Tribolium castaneum: one gene and its partners. The protein of the gene in region 3 purifies or fractionates together with the protein of the main gene of each other region. This does not show direct contact. Links are inferred from orthologs where the notes say so. Each region holds a gene or a part of one and is shown on either strand. Other genes may lie near its edges.

The links. Proteins that work in one complex are often made in the same cells at the same time.
Region 1: the proteins of Spf30 (region 3) and noi purify together in Homo sapiens (affinity purification with mass spectrometry; 3 studies listed by BioGRID and IntAct, with this or other methods). This does not show direct contact. The link is inferred for Tribolium castaneum from reciprocal best matches to the Homo sapiens genes SMNDC1 and SF3A3.
Region 2: the proteins of Spf30 (region 3) and Sf3b1 purify together in Homo sapiens (co-immunoprecipitation; 5 studies listed by BioGRID and IntAct, with this or other methods). This does not show direct contact. The link is inferred for Tribolium castaneum from reciprocal best matches to the Homo sapiens genes SMNDC1 and SF3B1.

What each region holds. Positions count from the first base shown.
Region 1 is NC_087397.1:5,205,668-5,210,539, reverse strand, and holds noi (splicing factor 3A subunit 3), read left to right. Parts: upstream 1-1,766; 5' UTR 1,767-1,909; coding exon 1,910-2,005; intron 2,006-2,057; coding exon 2,058-2,264; intron 2,265-2,313; coding exon 2,314-2,386; intron 2,387-2,443; coding exon 2,444-2,757; intron 2,758-2,806; coding exon 2,807-2,943; intron 2,944-2,991; coding exon 2,992-3,331; intron 3,332-3,382; coding exon 3,383-3,584; intron 3,585-3,633; coding exon 3,634-3,767; 3' UTR 3,768-3,820; downstream 3,821-4,872. Other genes in the region: NF-kappa-B essential modulator, read right to left, coding at 1-1,491; neuropathy target esterase sws, read left to right, coding at 4,208-4,312, 4,363-4,456, 4,503-4,717, 4,810-4,872. UniProt on the Homo sapiens protein: Component of the 17S U2 SnRNP complex of the spliceosome, a large ribonucleoprotein complex that removes introns from transcribed pre-mRNAs.
Region 2 is NC_087395.1:16,039,664-16,044,731, forward strand, and holds the start of Sf3b1 (splicing factor 3B subunit 1), read left to right. Parts: upstream 1-1,716; 5' UTR 1,717-1,833; coding exon 1,834-1,861; intron 1,862-1,915; coding exon 1,916-2,184; intron 2,185-2,233; coding exon 2,234-2,360; intron 2,361-2,365; exon of another isoform or gene 2,366-2,798; intron 2,799-3,002; coding exon 3,003-3,082; intron 3,083-3,195; coding exon 3,196-3,384; intron 3,385-3,432; coding exon 3,433-5,068. Other genes in the region: corepressor interacting with RBPJ 1, read left to right, coding at 1-514, 1,380-1,566. UniProt on the Homo sapiens protein: Component of the 17S U2 SnRNP complex of the spliceosome, a large ribonucleoprotein complex that removes introns from transcribed pre-mRNAs.
Region 3 is NC_087399.1:319,249-322,948, forward strand, and holds Spf30 (survival of motor neuron-related-splicing factor 30), read left to right. Parts: upstream 1-1,945; 5' UTR 1,946-2,089; coding exon 2,090-2,830; 3' UTR 2,831-2,909; downstream 2,910-3,700. Other genes in the region: uncharacterized protein LOC103314146, read right to left, coding at 1-1,639; ras-related protein Rab6, read right to left, coding at 2,924-3,556. UniProt on the Homo sapiens protein: Involved in spliceosome assembly.

The DNA of each region.
Region 1 (4,872 bases), on a different chromosome or scaffold from region 3:
CAAGCACCTATGAACATGATTTTCCAATGACTGGTAATTATTAAATCCGAACGAGCACTTGGGGCACTGATACCCCTCGGCCCTCGGCGGCTCGTTCCTCGCCCTCAGCCTCTCCACTTCATTCTGCAGTTGTTTGTTCCTCGTTTGCAGATTCTGCAAATCTTCAACAACCTGGTCCTTCTCTTGTTTCATCGCAAGTTTGCTCTTCTTCTCTGCTTCAAAATCGTTCTTATACACTTCGATTTGTTCCTTCAATGCGAACATTTCGTCGTTGGCACTTGTATTTTCTTGAAGTAGTTTACGCAAATCTTCGATTTCTTTAATCTTCTGTTCCCTTTCCTGTTCCAATGCTGTGATTGTCCTTTGGGCAACGCTCAACTGGGCCCGGGATTGGGCATAATCTTCGGCCAAACGCGGGTTGTACTTGTCTTGGAGCTCCTTAAGTTGCGATTTTAGGGTTTTTATCTCATCACTGAGGGTGGATTCGACGAAAGCGGTGCGTTGTTGTTCTTCCTTCAGTTTCAAGATTTCCGTTTCTTTCAGTTTGAGGAGCTGGTCGTAGGTTTGGGCTGCCGTCGATGATTGGACGAGTTTTGCGTTTTCTTTTGTTAAATTATCCAATTTTGATTGGAGGTCGGTGGTTGTTGTCTTCATTGACTGGATTTCGTCAATTAGGTCGCTTTCGCGATTTTTTGCGGCGAGAATATCCAGTTTAAAGTCGTCAATTTGTTGCTGCTTGGTTTGTAATTCCTGTTCAAGGTTCGGTACATTCACCAATTTTTGCGTCAGTCTTTCAATTTCTTCCTGTTTCAGTTCTAAATCCTTCATCATTGCTAATTTCCTTGTGTCAACAACTGAAAAGTTGGGGCCGTTGGTCAAATTTTCCAATTCCTTAAGCTTCAGTTTCAAATTCAAGATTTCTTCTTCATGGAGCTTTTTAAGATTGATGTAAACTTCAACGTCACTAACCAACTTTGCATTTTCTTCTTTATACTTATCTATGCACATTTTGGCATCGTTGAACTTATCTTTGTAGGACTTCATCACATTGGTGACCTCATCCCTGTAGGCCAAAAACCTCGTATACTGCGCCTTCATACTCATGTTATTTTGTGCGATGATATTCTTCAACTTTTCGTTTTCCTTAATCAGTTCTTCCACTTGTTTTTGAATCTCTTCATACGACGAATCCGGCGATATTGCAATACTTGCAACTGAGGGCACAATCGCATCAACAGCTGCTGGTAATTCTGGCAACGGATCAACGGTAATTTGTGATATTTTCATCCTGATTAGATTTTCCATTTCGTGAACCTTATTTGTCCTTATTGGGGGCAAGATTTCGTCCCTTGGAGGGCTGCAAGACAAACTTTCGCTGATGGAATTTGAAGTTTCCAAAACGACAAATGAATCTTCATCATCGGACCCGATTGACGGAACCATGGACTCTGCAGTGTTTTTCACAGCAACGAAGGACTCGTCACGACTCATTTTTGATGACTTTCAAGTTTTAACAACAGCTGCAGTACAACACTACATTTGCGGCGCAAAATAGAATGAATTAGAACATAGAATATGAAAATACCAAACTACTGACACACGATTAAAGACACTGCTACCAACCGGACCAATAAAAAGTCGCCTTAGCCTTAATTTAATTTTTTAAGAATATTAAAGCTCTAAAAATGTTATTGTGGCATAACTATTTACGTAAAATTTCATTTGGGACACAACTGTAGTCGTAAAAAAATTGTAAAGTCAAAGAAAAACCGCTTAGTGATTTTCTAGTGTGACAATAATGGTGCACCTCTCTCTTATTCTACGCTGACATTTTGTCATTTTTTGACAGTCGACATTTGATGGCGTCGGGTAAATAAATAATTTTCGCAATTTTCTAAAAAAAGTCGCAATGGAGACGATTTTGGAGCAACAACGGCGTTATCACGAGGAAAAAGAGCGTCTCATTGACGCAATGGTTAAAGAAATTTTACATAAAAAAACAACGGTAAGTTGTGATTCTCGTGGCGCTTTGCCCCCTGACAGAGTCTTTGTTTTAGTACCGCGAGGCAATAAACTCGGACTATCGCCTTAAATTTCTGCTAGACAAATATATGACCTCCACTGATCGTTTGATTGAGCTGTATGAGGACAAGGACGGGCAAAGAAAAGCGGAAGTCGCTGCCCTTACAGGTCCAAATGAGTTTCAGGAGTTTTACAATCGTCTCAAGCAGATTAAAGATTTTTACAGGAAGCATCCTAATGAGGTATAGTTTTTGAATATTTTGTGTGTTTGTGTAATGATTTTTTTCTCAGATAAGTATTCCAATGTCTGTTGAGTTCGATGAACTAGCCAAAGCGCGTGAAAATCCCACTGAAGAAATGGCAAGTGAGTCTTGCTAGGCTCGTGTGATCACAGTTGTTTAATTACGTTTGTTTTTTCAAGATTTGGTTGAATTTACGGATGAGGAAGGTTATGGGAAATATTTGGATTTGCACGAATGTTACGAGAAATATATCAATTTGAAAGGCATTGAAAAGGTTGATTATATCACATATTTGGGCACTTTTGACCAGCTCTATGACATTCCTAAAGAACGCAAAACTGGAGAATATCGCAAATATTTGCTTTGCTTGATTGAGTATTTAACTTGGTTCGTGCAAAGAGTCAAACCTTTGATGGACATTGATGCTGATTTGCAAAACGAAGTTGATAATGTTATGGTCCAGTGGGAGAATGGGACTGTTCCAGGATGGCCCGTAATTTGGTAAAAAACTAATTTATTTTTACTACTTCATTTACTTTCAGAAAGAGACAGGGTCGGCCTTGGCGAACGTTGGGGCCCATTTAGACTTGTCCGCATTTTCAAGTTGGGAGGAATTGGCTTCTTTAGGTTTGGACAGATTGAAGTCGGCCCTAATGGCTCTTGGTTTAAAATGTGGCGGGTAATTATTTACGTCTTGCCATAAATAAAATTCTAATTATTTATTTAGGACGTTGGAAGAGCGTGCCCAGCGTTTATTTTCAACCAAGGGCAAAGGCTCACTAGATCCGTCTCTAATGACTAAAAACAAATCTGGCAAAGCCAGTAAGGAAAAGGAGCAAATGAGACAAAGAGAACTGGCCTGTCTTGAGGCACAAGTTTATAGGTTGGCCGAGCTGGTCGCCCCTCAACGCGCGGCAACTAAGGAAAATGTCCAGAGAAAACAAGCGCGGACGGATGGTGAAAGAGACGATAGTGAAAATGAGGAGAGTGAGGAGGAAAGTCCCGATGAAGCCGACGATGACGTTCCCTACAACCCCAAAAACTTACCTTTGGGCTGGGATGGAAAAGTATGTGATTTTGAAAGTAAGTTGGTAAAATTGATTGTTTCGTAATTGCAGCCGATTCCATACTGGTTGTACAAACTCCACGGTTTGAATATCAGTTACAACTGCGAAATTTGCGGCAATTACGTCTATAAAGGACCAAAGGCGTTTCAAAGACACTTTGCGGAGTGGAGACACGCTCATGGAATGCGCTGTCTGGGAATCCCCAATACCGCGCATTTTGCCAACGTGACGCAAATTGAGGATGCCCTAGCACGTAAGAAGTTGCAATTTTGGTTTCTTACCTTGTTACGGTTGTTTTCCAGTGTGGGAGAAGCTCAAAGTGCAAAAACAGGCAGAGCGTTGGCAACCTGAAACAGAGGAAGAGTACGAGGATTCGCAAGGGAACGTCGTTAACAGAAAGACTTACGAGGATCTTAAAAGACAAGGTTTATTGTAATTTGTGCTGTATTAACAATAAGTATCAATAAAAAACATAAACAAAACTTTAAATATTGACATTTTATTTTGATGGTCGCCTTGGGAAGGGGAATTTTCGACTGTTCGTTAGCACGAACGTACAAAACTGAGCCCGAAATAGGGATAGAGAGAGTGAAAATTATTCCTGTTACTTAAGAAATTATTCAGTAGTTTCTGCGTAAATAAATAATAATTTAAGTACTCATTTAGCGTGTTTTTAGAGTTCGGTTGAATGCACAGTCGGCTGCAATTTTTCTCACTTACCGAACGATGCGCATTTGTTTGTGCCTGTGATTTGACCAGATTTGACTTTGACACATAAGTGGGTAAATTCATCCAAATAGGTTTGTGATTTTATTCAACCTTTAATCACTAATTCTTTAATCATCAGAGTCTAATTTCTATAATGTGCGAGCTAAAATGGACGTATTAAATGCGGTATACAACTTAAACAATGAAGAAACCCTCAAGTCCAGTTGGTTCGGTGAGGTCTTCTCGAGTTTTTCGACTCAAGAGACGTACCAGGTAAGAAAACTGCGATTTGAATCAGTTTTTGCGTAATCACGGGGTTCCAGTGGGGCTTCCAGCTACTGCCCGTGTTACTGGCAGCGATTTTCGCAACGATAATTTCAGTAACGTATTTTTGCATACGAAAATGCCACCGAAAAGGTACAAATTAGTGTTTAGTTGTCTCGGTTGTAATAATTTGATTTAGCTCTTTTTGCGCGACAATTGAAATCCGAAGAGGCAAGTGCAAGGTTCAGGAAGAGGGATAAAGCGTTGTTTTACGGGCGCAAAATGTTACGCAAGGTGAAAAATATTTCGGGCCAAGTGCGGAACTCCGGTCAGGGCAGGAAAAGGAAAATGGTGATGAAATTCGCGAGACGGATTTTACAACTAAAGAAGGAAAATGATACGGAACAATTGAAGGTATTTAATATGTAACCAGATCTCGGCGTTACACAAGTGCGTGAAAGCAAGGACACGAGATAATTTCTAGGAATTTATAAACAATTGTTTAGGTTCTGGAACCGCCTGTTGAATATTTACAAGAGGAAATGTTGAGCGATGATCGGATGCCGCCG
Region 2 (5,068 bases), on a different chromosome or scaffold from region 3:
TCAAGTGCCACAAATGGGGGCACATTAACACGGATAAGGAGTGCCCCATGTACAGTTTGTCGACCAGTGTGGCCAGGTCGCTCGAGTCGGCCTCGATTTTGGACCAGAAGTCGTTGGTTGAGCAAATGAGGGAGGATGGGCTTGCGATTAAAAAGCAGTATTTGAGCAATACGGGGACTGCTAATTATGATTTGATTATTAACGAGGATGCTGATGAGAATTCGGTTGTGACTTTTATTAAGTCGTTGACGAAGAAGCAGAAGAAGGCGTTGTTGAAGAAGTTGGAGAAGATTGAAAAGGGGGGGAGAGATAAGAAGAACAAGAAACGAAGGGATTCAGATGAGGCTTCCTCAGATGAAGACAGGAAGAAAGCAGGGAAGAGGAAGTTCAGGAGGAGGAATCAGAGTACGAGCTCTGAGGAGGAATCGGAAGATGATAAGAAGAAACACAAGAAGAAGGAAAAGTCGTCAGAGTTTAAACTAATGTCCAAAGAGGAGAAAAAGGCATTGATTAAGTAAGTTTCGACTTTAAAACTGAGGACAATGTACTCTACTTTTTAGTCGAATATCAATTTTTTGTACGAAAATTTTCATTTGCAGTAGTTCATTTAAAAAATCACAACTCTTGAAACTTTTACAATAAATAAATAATTATATTAGTATTCGATAACCAAAGGTTCAAAGGGTCTTTTCAAATTTTCAGGATTGTCAAATGTCAAATTGCAAGACTACTATGATTTTTTGAAATTGATCAAAAAGTAATTATAACAGTTTTTTCAAATTTTTGAATGGTAATCAAAAGGATATCGATTTTTATGGAGACTTTTATCAATATCTCCTATATCTATCTCTTATACTTTTTAAAATAATCTCAAAAAAAAAAGACCAAAAGCTCATTGTTTTCAATTTTAATCGAGTAAACTTTCGAAAAATACGATAAAGTTGTGCTATTAAATAAAAGTACTGCTTATTTGATAATAAATCAACTAAAAACTAAATAAAAGTTGGACAGTTGTTGACCATTTTGCAAGGTCTACTTGATTAACTATGAAAATTACGAAGTAAAATCCGTGTTTTTTTTTGTAATTATTTCTAAAAATGTAGGAAATGGGTATAGGACGTGTTCATAAAAGTCACCATAAATATTGATGTTCGATTGCTGTTAAGAAAAAAGGATCGTTCCATTTGAAAGACTGAGTTATAGCCATATTTTGCCAAAATCATACTAGCCTTGAATTTTGACAAATGACAATTTTACAAAAATTCAAAAATCCCTAAATCGATTAAAATAATATTTTTTATTTAAAAACGACAAAAAGGGGGCAATTACAAAAAATAGTACAAAGATCTTTTAATTTACTATTAATTAATTGATTACAGGAAACTGGAAATTGTGGAGAAAGCAATCAGTAAAAGGAACGAAAAGAATGGGCGAAGAAGTTCCGATGAGGACAGGTCAAGGAGGGACAAAAAGCACTCACGGCATAACAATGATGACTACAGACGGGACAGGAAGCGAAAATCTGATGATTCCTATTATGAAAATAGCAAAAGAAGACGCTCTTAAGTTTTTGTTGTACATTTCTTAGAATTGTTGTGATTATAGGGATTATCATGATACTTGTAATAATTTAGAAAACGTAATATATTTTTAAACGTATTCCACCGAATTTTATTTATAAATCCCGCCAACTTTAGCGACAGGCTGGCTATTGGTCCATTTTCGCGCAGGCGCTTAATGAGTCGCCATTTTGTAACGCAAGCTTGTCATTGATTTTCCTTGAAAGTGTTTTGAAACGAAATAAGCCAAAGCAACAAGCATTGGTGCTAGAAAATGGAACAGATACCAAGGACTCATGAAGGTACGCTGTTTTTTGCACCCAAAAGCCCGTTTCATGACTTTTTTGCGTCTCTAGACATCGAGGCCCAAATTCGTGAAATCCAGTCTAAAAAGAAGGAAATTCCGGTGGAAGAGGAGCGAAACGAGAAGGGTGTAGGTTTAGGCGAGAGTGGCTATTTTGATAGTGAGATCTACGATGGGGGCGGCGGTAAGGGTAAATACGAGGGTTATGTGACCTCGATCGCCGCCAACGATGAAGCCGATGAAGAGGACGACGATGTGGGTTATAGTCAGAAACGGACCGGACTGGGGGCCCCTGTGGCGCTCCTCAATGATGTCGCTCAGGTGAGATTTGTGTTATTTAAGTTTTGTGGTAGTTAACTGAGTTGTTTAGAGCGACAAGGATTTTGATCCGTTTGCTGACAAGAGGAGGCCCACGATTGCCGATCGAGAGGACGAGTACAGGCAAAAGAGGCGTCGGATGATTATTTCACCCGAACGTGTTGATCCGTTCGCTGACGGTGAGTAGTTGATTTCGTCCAAGTATTTATAGCTCGTTTTTCCACTTGTTTATGTTTTATATGAAATTTGAGATAATGCTGTTGCTGTCGCTTATCTCAAGTTTTGTATGTTATTGGGGTATATGAAAGATAGCGAATGGATGCATGAGTGAGCAAAAATACTCGAGAAAGTAGGCATTAAATAAAAATCAGTACAAAGAAACTAATTTGTTCTGTATTGGATTCCAACATTTAGGGGTGTCTTCCTAGAGAAGTAATCGCCGCGATTTTAATGGATCACTTCCGTAAAATGTAACGTTGGTAAACGAAAATCGAACAAGAGTGAAAGAGTGTATGCAATGTATAGAAAATTATTAATTACCCCAGCCTATTTCTAGGTTCGATTTGACCAGTTGTTTTGCGAGAAACTGCCTGATTTGTGATGGAGCACAATCACACGTACGTATCAAGATTTGTTCGCCAAATTCACTCCCTTTCAATCCCCAATATTCGAAAAATAATCAGTTTGAGTGAATTGTGGTGCAACCAAATCTTTCAATCATTCAATAAAGAACAGATACTAAATAGAAAAGTCTGACCATTTTTTGCCAACAAGTGCTTCCGTTTACTAATTGGCGTTTTTCAACGCTGTTATGTTTACAGGTGGCAAAACACCAGACATCAATGCCCGCGGTTACACCCAGATTATGAAAGAGCAGATGCTCAAAGGAGAAGAAAACGAGGTCAGTATCAAAAATTTATCACCTAGCCAATTTTTTTTCGTAATTATGTCCGGCAATGGAGTCCTTTGTTAACTCAAAGTTGATTTCTTTGACCACTTGTAATTTAATTTCAGTTGAGGAAAAAAATTCTGGAAAAATCCAAAGACGGTTCACTCAAATCAACAAACGGTGAGGTAAAGAGCGCACCTAAGAAACGGGGGCGCTGGGACCAAACCGTAGACGAAGTCGTCGTCCCCAGCAAAAAGAAAACTCTCTCCGTAACGACCAACAGTGCAGCTGCTACCCCCATCTGGGATGCTGACGTAACAATCCCAATTTTTTAAAACCAATTATTAATAAAAAAATTACAGAAAACTCCAGCCGACCACCGCTGGGACGAAACCCCCGGCCACAAAGGCAGTGAAACGCCGGGCGCCACCCCCGGCCAATCCACCCGTATCTGGGACGCGACCCCCGGGGCTGCAACTCCAGGTCGCGAAACGCCCGCTCATGACAAGAGTGCCAGTCGTCGAAACCGCTGGGATGAAACACCCAAAACCGAGCGTGAAACTCCGGGACATTCGAGCGGCTGGGCTGAAACCCCGCGCACCGACCGAACCGGAGCCGACTTGATTCACGAAACACCGACTCCGGGAGCGTCCAAACGCCGCTCCCGTTGGGATGAAACTCCCTCTGTTCAGACACCGTCGGCGCACATGACTCCGGGTGCTATGACGCCGCAAACGCCGCACGGAACGCCAAGCCATGCCACTCCGATGCTGACTCCGGGCGGGTCAACTCCGGTCGGAGTCAAGGCGATGGCCATGGCGACGCCCACTCCGGGACACTTGGCGTCCATGACTCCGGAACAACTCCAGGCCTATCGATGGGAGCGGGAGATTGACGAGAGGAATAGGCCGTATTCGGATGAGGAATTGGATGCGATGTTTCCGCCGGGGTACAAGATTTTGGCACCTCCGGCTGGGTATATACCCATCAGGACGCCAGCAAGGAAATTGACAGCCACGCCCACACCCATGGTTAATACTCCCCAGGGATTTTTCATCCAACAGGAAGATAAGACAGCCAAATATCTGGATAATCAACCAAAAGGGCAGAATTTGCCGTTCATGAAACCAGAAGATGCGCAATATTTTGATAAATTATTGGTCGATGTTGATGAAGAAGCTTTGAGTCCTGAGGAACAGAAAGAACGGAAAATAATGAAACTACTCCTAAAGATCAAAAACGGGACCCCTCCCATGCGAAAAGCCGCCTTGAGGCAAATCACAGACAAGGCTCGAGAATTCGGTGCAGGGCCCCTTTTTAACCAAATTTTGCCCCTTTTAATGAGTCCAACTCTGGAGGACCAAGAACGTCACTTGTTAGTCAAAGTCATAGACCGAATTTTGTACAAATTGGACGATTTAGTCCGTCCCTACGTCCACAAAATATTGGTGGTGATCGAACCGTTGCTCATCGACGAAGATTACTACGCGCGTGTGGAAGGCCGTGAGATTATCTCAAATTTGGCCAAAGCCGCCGGATTGGCAACCATGATTTCGACCATGCGGCCCGATATTGACAATATAGACGAATACGTCCGAAATACAACCGCTCGTGCGTTTGCCGTCGTCGCTTCAGCTCTGGGAATCCCCTCGTTGTTGCCGTTTTTGAAAGCCGTCTGTCGGTCGAAAAAATCGTGGCAGGCCCGGCATACTGGTATTAAAATCGTCCAACAAATCGCAATATTGATGGGGTGCGCTATTTTACCGCATTTGAAATCATTGGTTGAGATTATCGAGCACGGTTTGGTCGACGAACAGCAAAAAGTTCGAACGATTACGGCGTTAGGTATCGCGGCGTTAGCCGAGGCTGCGACACCGTACGGTATTGAGAGTTTCGATTCGGTGCTTAAACCACTGTGGAAGGGCATTAGGACCCATCGCGGGAAGGGTTTAGCTGCGTTTTTGAAAGCTATTGGTTATTTGATTCCGCTGATGGACG
Region 3 (3,700 bases):
CTTCTTTCGTTATTGAAATTGAATGGTTCAGTTTTCGATTATCCGAATGTGAGCCGGAATTCCAGTTATGAAGTCCGTAATTATTTAAAAACAACTTTCGGCGGTTCGTCCGTGTGAGACTTCGATGCAGTGATTTGATCTCAATGTCTGTGTTAACAGGGAGCACTTCCAGGTCCGGAATAGGGACAGGGCTAAGACTGTTTTGCACCGACTCTTCATCTTCTTCCTCCGTTGATAATTCGTTAATTTTGGCCGATTCTTGATCTTCTTCAGTTGATGGTTCGCTAATTTTGACCGATTCTTCGTGAGTTAGTTCGTTAATTTCTTCCACCTGACTTGGTAATTCGCCAATTTTTGCATAATCATGTTCAATGAGAACAAAATCAGTGACTAGATCTTTATTTTCCTTCTCTTCTGTGGTTTTCTTTTCGGACAAGTCGGCAAAAATTTTGTAGGCCTTCTGGACATCGGCTTCTTGTGCCATTTGTTTGTTTATAAGGTTGGTAATCGAACTGGAAGCCAAGATTCGTGTCTCGATCACACTTTTCCTGTGCTCTTCACTCATTTTATCCAACTCTAACATATCGTCAACGAAATTTTTCAAATCGATATTTTCATCATCCGAATTCGTATGAACCGAGACGATTTCGCAACGTTGTTGTTTCTCCACCGAATCACAGTGGGGACATGCATTTTTTTGTGGTGAATCTTTCTTGAGAAATTTTTTCCGCCGTTTCCGACTTTTACGCAAAATGAGCCGATCCAAAGAAATGAACCTGAGCCGACCTTTGCTACGTAGTGAATTAATTCGTTTGAAATTAAACTGATGCGATTTGAGCCCCCAATTAAATTTTCGGCGCTTTGTCACTTTACTCCTCAACTTGACACTTTCGACAATCTTACGAACCGAGTCCTCAAAATCAACAAATTCGCTAAATTTTGACTTTGGGGGCAATGGTAAATATTTATTGGGCGTTTCTTTTTTCTTCTTCGACTCAAAAATGTTCAAATCTTCGAATGATTTGAGGGTGGGGAAGGTGTTTATGTCGTTTTCTGAACACGTTTTTTGGTGGTTTTGGACTAAATTCTTGACTCGCTTCGATCGTCTGTTTCCGAATAACAGTTTCTTCTGTTTCTTTTCGCCAGGTTTCATTAGCTGTAAGTAACTGCAAAGTTCCTTTTTCTGGCTTTCTGGGCTTAGGGGAGTTTCAAAGTTTAAATTTCCATTGACTTTTGCTGTACATTCCTGGCTTTTTTTCTCGTCACTCAGAGCCGCTTTTTTGGCCTGTTCCATATAAGAAAACAAGGGAGTGACTCGCGTAAAACATGATTTCGGCACATTTATTGTGATTTTCTCGCTTTTATCGAAATCATAGCGGATACAAACGCTTTTATTCTCATTAGGGGGCCCCAGATCATCGTACTTGGTCGTATCTATCCATTCTTTGACTTTTTCGTAATGATTGGGGGTGTTATCAGAGTCCAAGACCTTGGACGTCCTTTTGGCACCTTTGTGGCCGTCCCAACTCACGGGAACTCGGTGTATTTCCGAACTTAGGGTTAGAACAGTCACAGGAGAATCGGTGTTTTTGGGGGAAGCGTTCAACGATGCACTCGAGAGGGAAATAACACTTGCCATTACGAAAGTTTAACGTGGTAACGATCACTTAATTTAATTGTTTAGCACACATTTGTACACCTGACTTTGGGGGGACGCTACAACCCCCCCAAAAACGTCAAACAATCAAAAAATACCAAGGGGGCTTGTTTGACGCTTTGGTGATTTTTCTGCGACAGCAGCGCCGCCAAACAAACACGTTTCTCGCCAAAACGGCCTTTTTACACATAGAAAAAATACGAAACACAATCAAGCGACTCAAAAACGTGAATTAGGGCGTATTTGTGATAATCACGATAAGTTTTTATTTTATAAGATGGTTTTTGTGACGCCTTGGTAACGTCAAAATCCCTACAAACCGTGAAAGATTGCAAATGGCCGCCGATTTATTGACGTATTGAACTTGTCAATAATTTTATTAAATAACGGCGAGTTTTTTGGTAAGTTTGTACGTTTTTTGCAACCTGAACGATGGACGAGTTGCAAAACTACCGCCTGCAATTACAACAAGTCGAAGCCGCGCTTCTGAGCGACCCCGACAACAAAGAGCTGCAAAAGCTCAAAGTGGACTTGGAGGAAGTAATTGAATTGTCCCTTGATTTGAAGAATAAGGCAGATGAGGCGGCAAATCAGCCCGAGTACACCGAACCGATTGGGGTGCCTGAAGAAGACGAGATAACCAAGTCGCTCCTGGCCGTTGAGCAGTTCGTTGCTCGTAACAAATCAAAGAAAATCTGGCGGATTGGCGACACCTGTCTCGCGAAATGGAACGATAACGGCCAATATTACGAAGCCCGTATCGATGCTATCCATCCGGACGGACAGGTAAATGTGACATTTGAAGCTTATAAAAATCGGGGGGTTTCTACCTTAGCGGAAATTAAAGAATTCACAGGAGCGAAACGAGTTCTGACTGAAGCTGAACGCTTGAAACGCATCAAAATGATGAATAACCGCGAATATCTCAAAAAGAAGAAGCTGAAGAAACAGCAGAGATTCAAAGAATTGGAGGAAGAGAGAGAAGTTGAGAAAAACAAGTGGCTGGCTTTTACGAATAAAGCCGTGAAAAACAAAAAAAGCGGACTCACTAATAAGAGTATTTTCGCGTCGCCTGATTCGGTGAACGGACGCGTGGGGATTGGCACTTGTGGGATAAGTGGCAAGCCGATGACTGAGTTTACCACAGCGGAAAAGTGGAGGAAAGGGGTTTAATTTTCTTTATGTTACTATTTTTTTAATTAAATAAATAAGATTGTATCAATTAATTATTGTAAATAAATGTTTCACAAAACGAGTTGTTCTTAATTAACAGGCGCAACTGTTGTCAATCGTAACCAAGCCATTTTTCCCCAAACTAACTTCCTGTAGTTCACTGCTATTATCACTCTTTGGTTCCTCACAAACCACCAAACTTTCAGTAATTCGCTTAAATAGCTGTTTAATGTTCAAACCAACTTTGGCGCTCGTCTCTACGAACGTGACGTTCAATTCTTTCGCTTTTTGTTCGCCCTCTTCTATACTGACTTGTCTCAAGTCCTTCAAGTCGACTTTGTTGCCGACCAGAAACACAATAACGGAGTCTCCGCGTTCCATTCGCACGTCATTAATCCATTTTGTGGTTTGGTGGAAGGTTTCAATGTTGGTCACATCAAAGACCACCACAGCCACTGAAGAGTCTCTTATGTAGGCAGGGATTAAAGAGCGGAAGCGCTCCTGACCGGCTGTGTCCCACAGTTGTAAACGCACGGTTTTGTCGGTTAAATACATTGTTTTTGATAGAAAATCGATACCGACTGTTGCCTGATAAGCGGTGTCGAAGCTGTCGTACATGAATTTCGTTATAATCGAAGTTTTTCCAACGCTTTGTTCGCCCAGAAAAACCAGTTTGTATTTTTGTAAACTGGGGTTGTAGTCTTGCGAGATTGAAAACTTTGTCATTTTGACAAAAAGTACAAAAACTTAATCGGTAGCCTACTTTGATATTAATTAAAAAAATATATTCACAAAAAATAAATAACCCACAAATGCAGTCTTTGCATTTAAATTTAAAGTTTTGATTTCTTTTTGTTTAAAATTTTAACA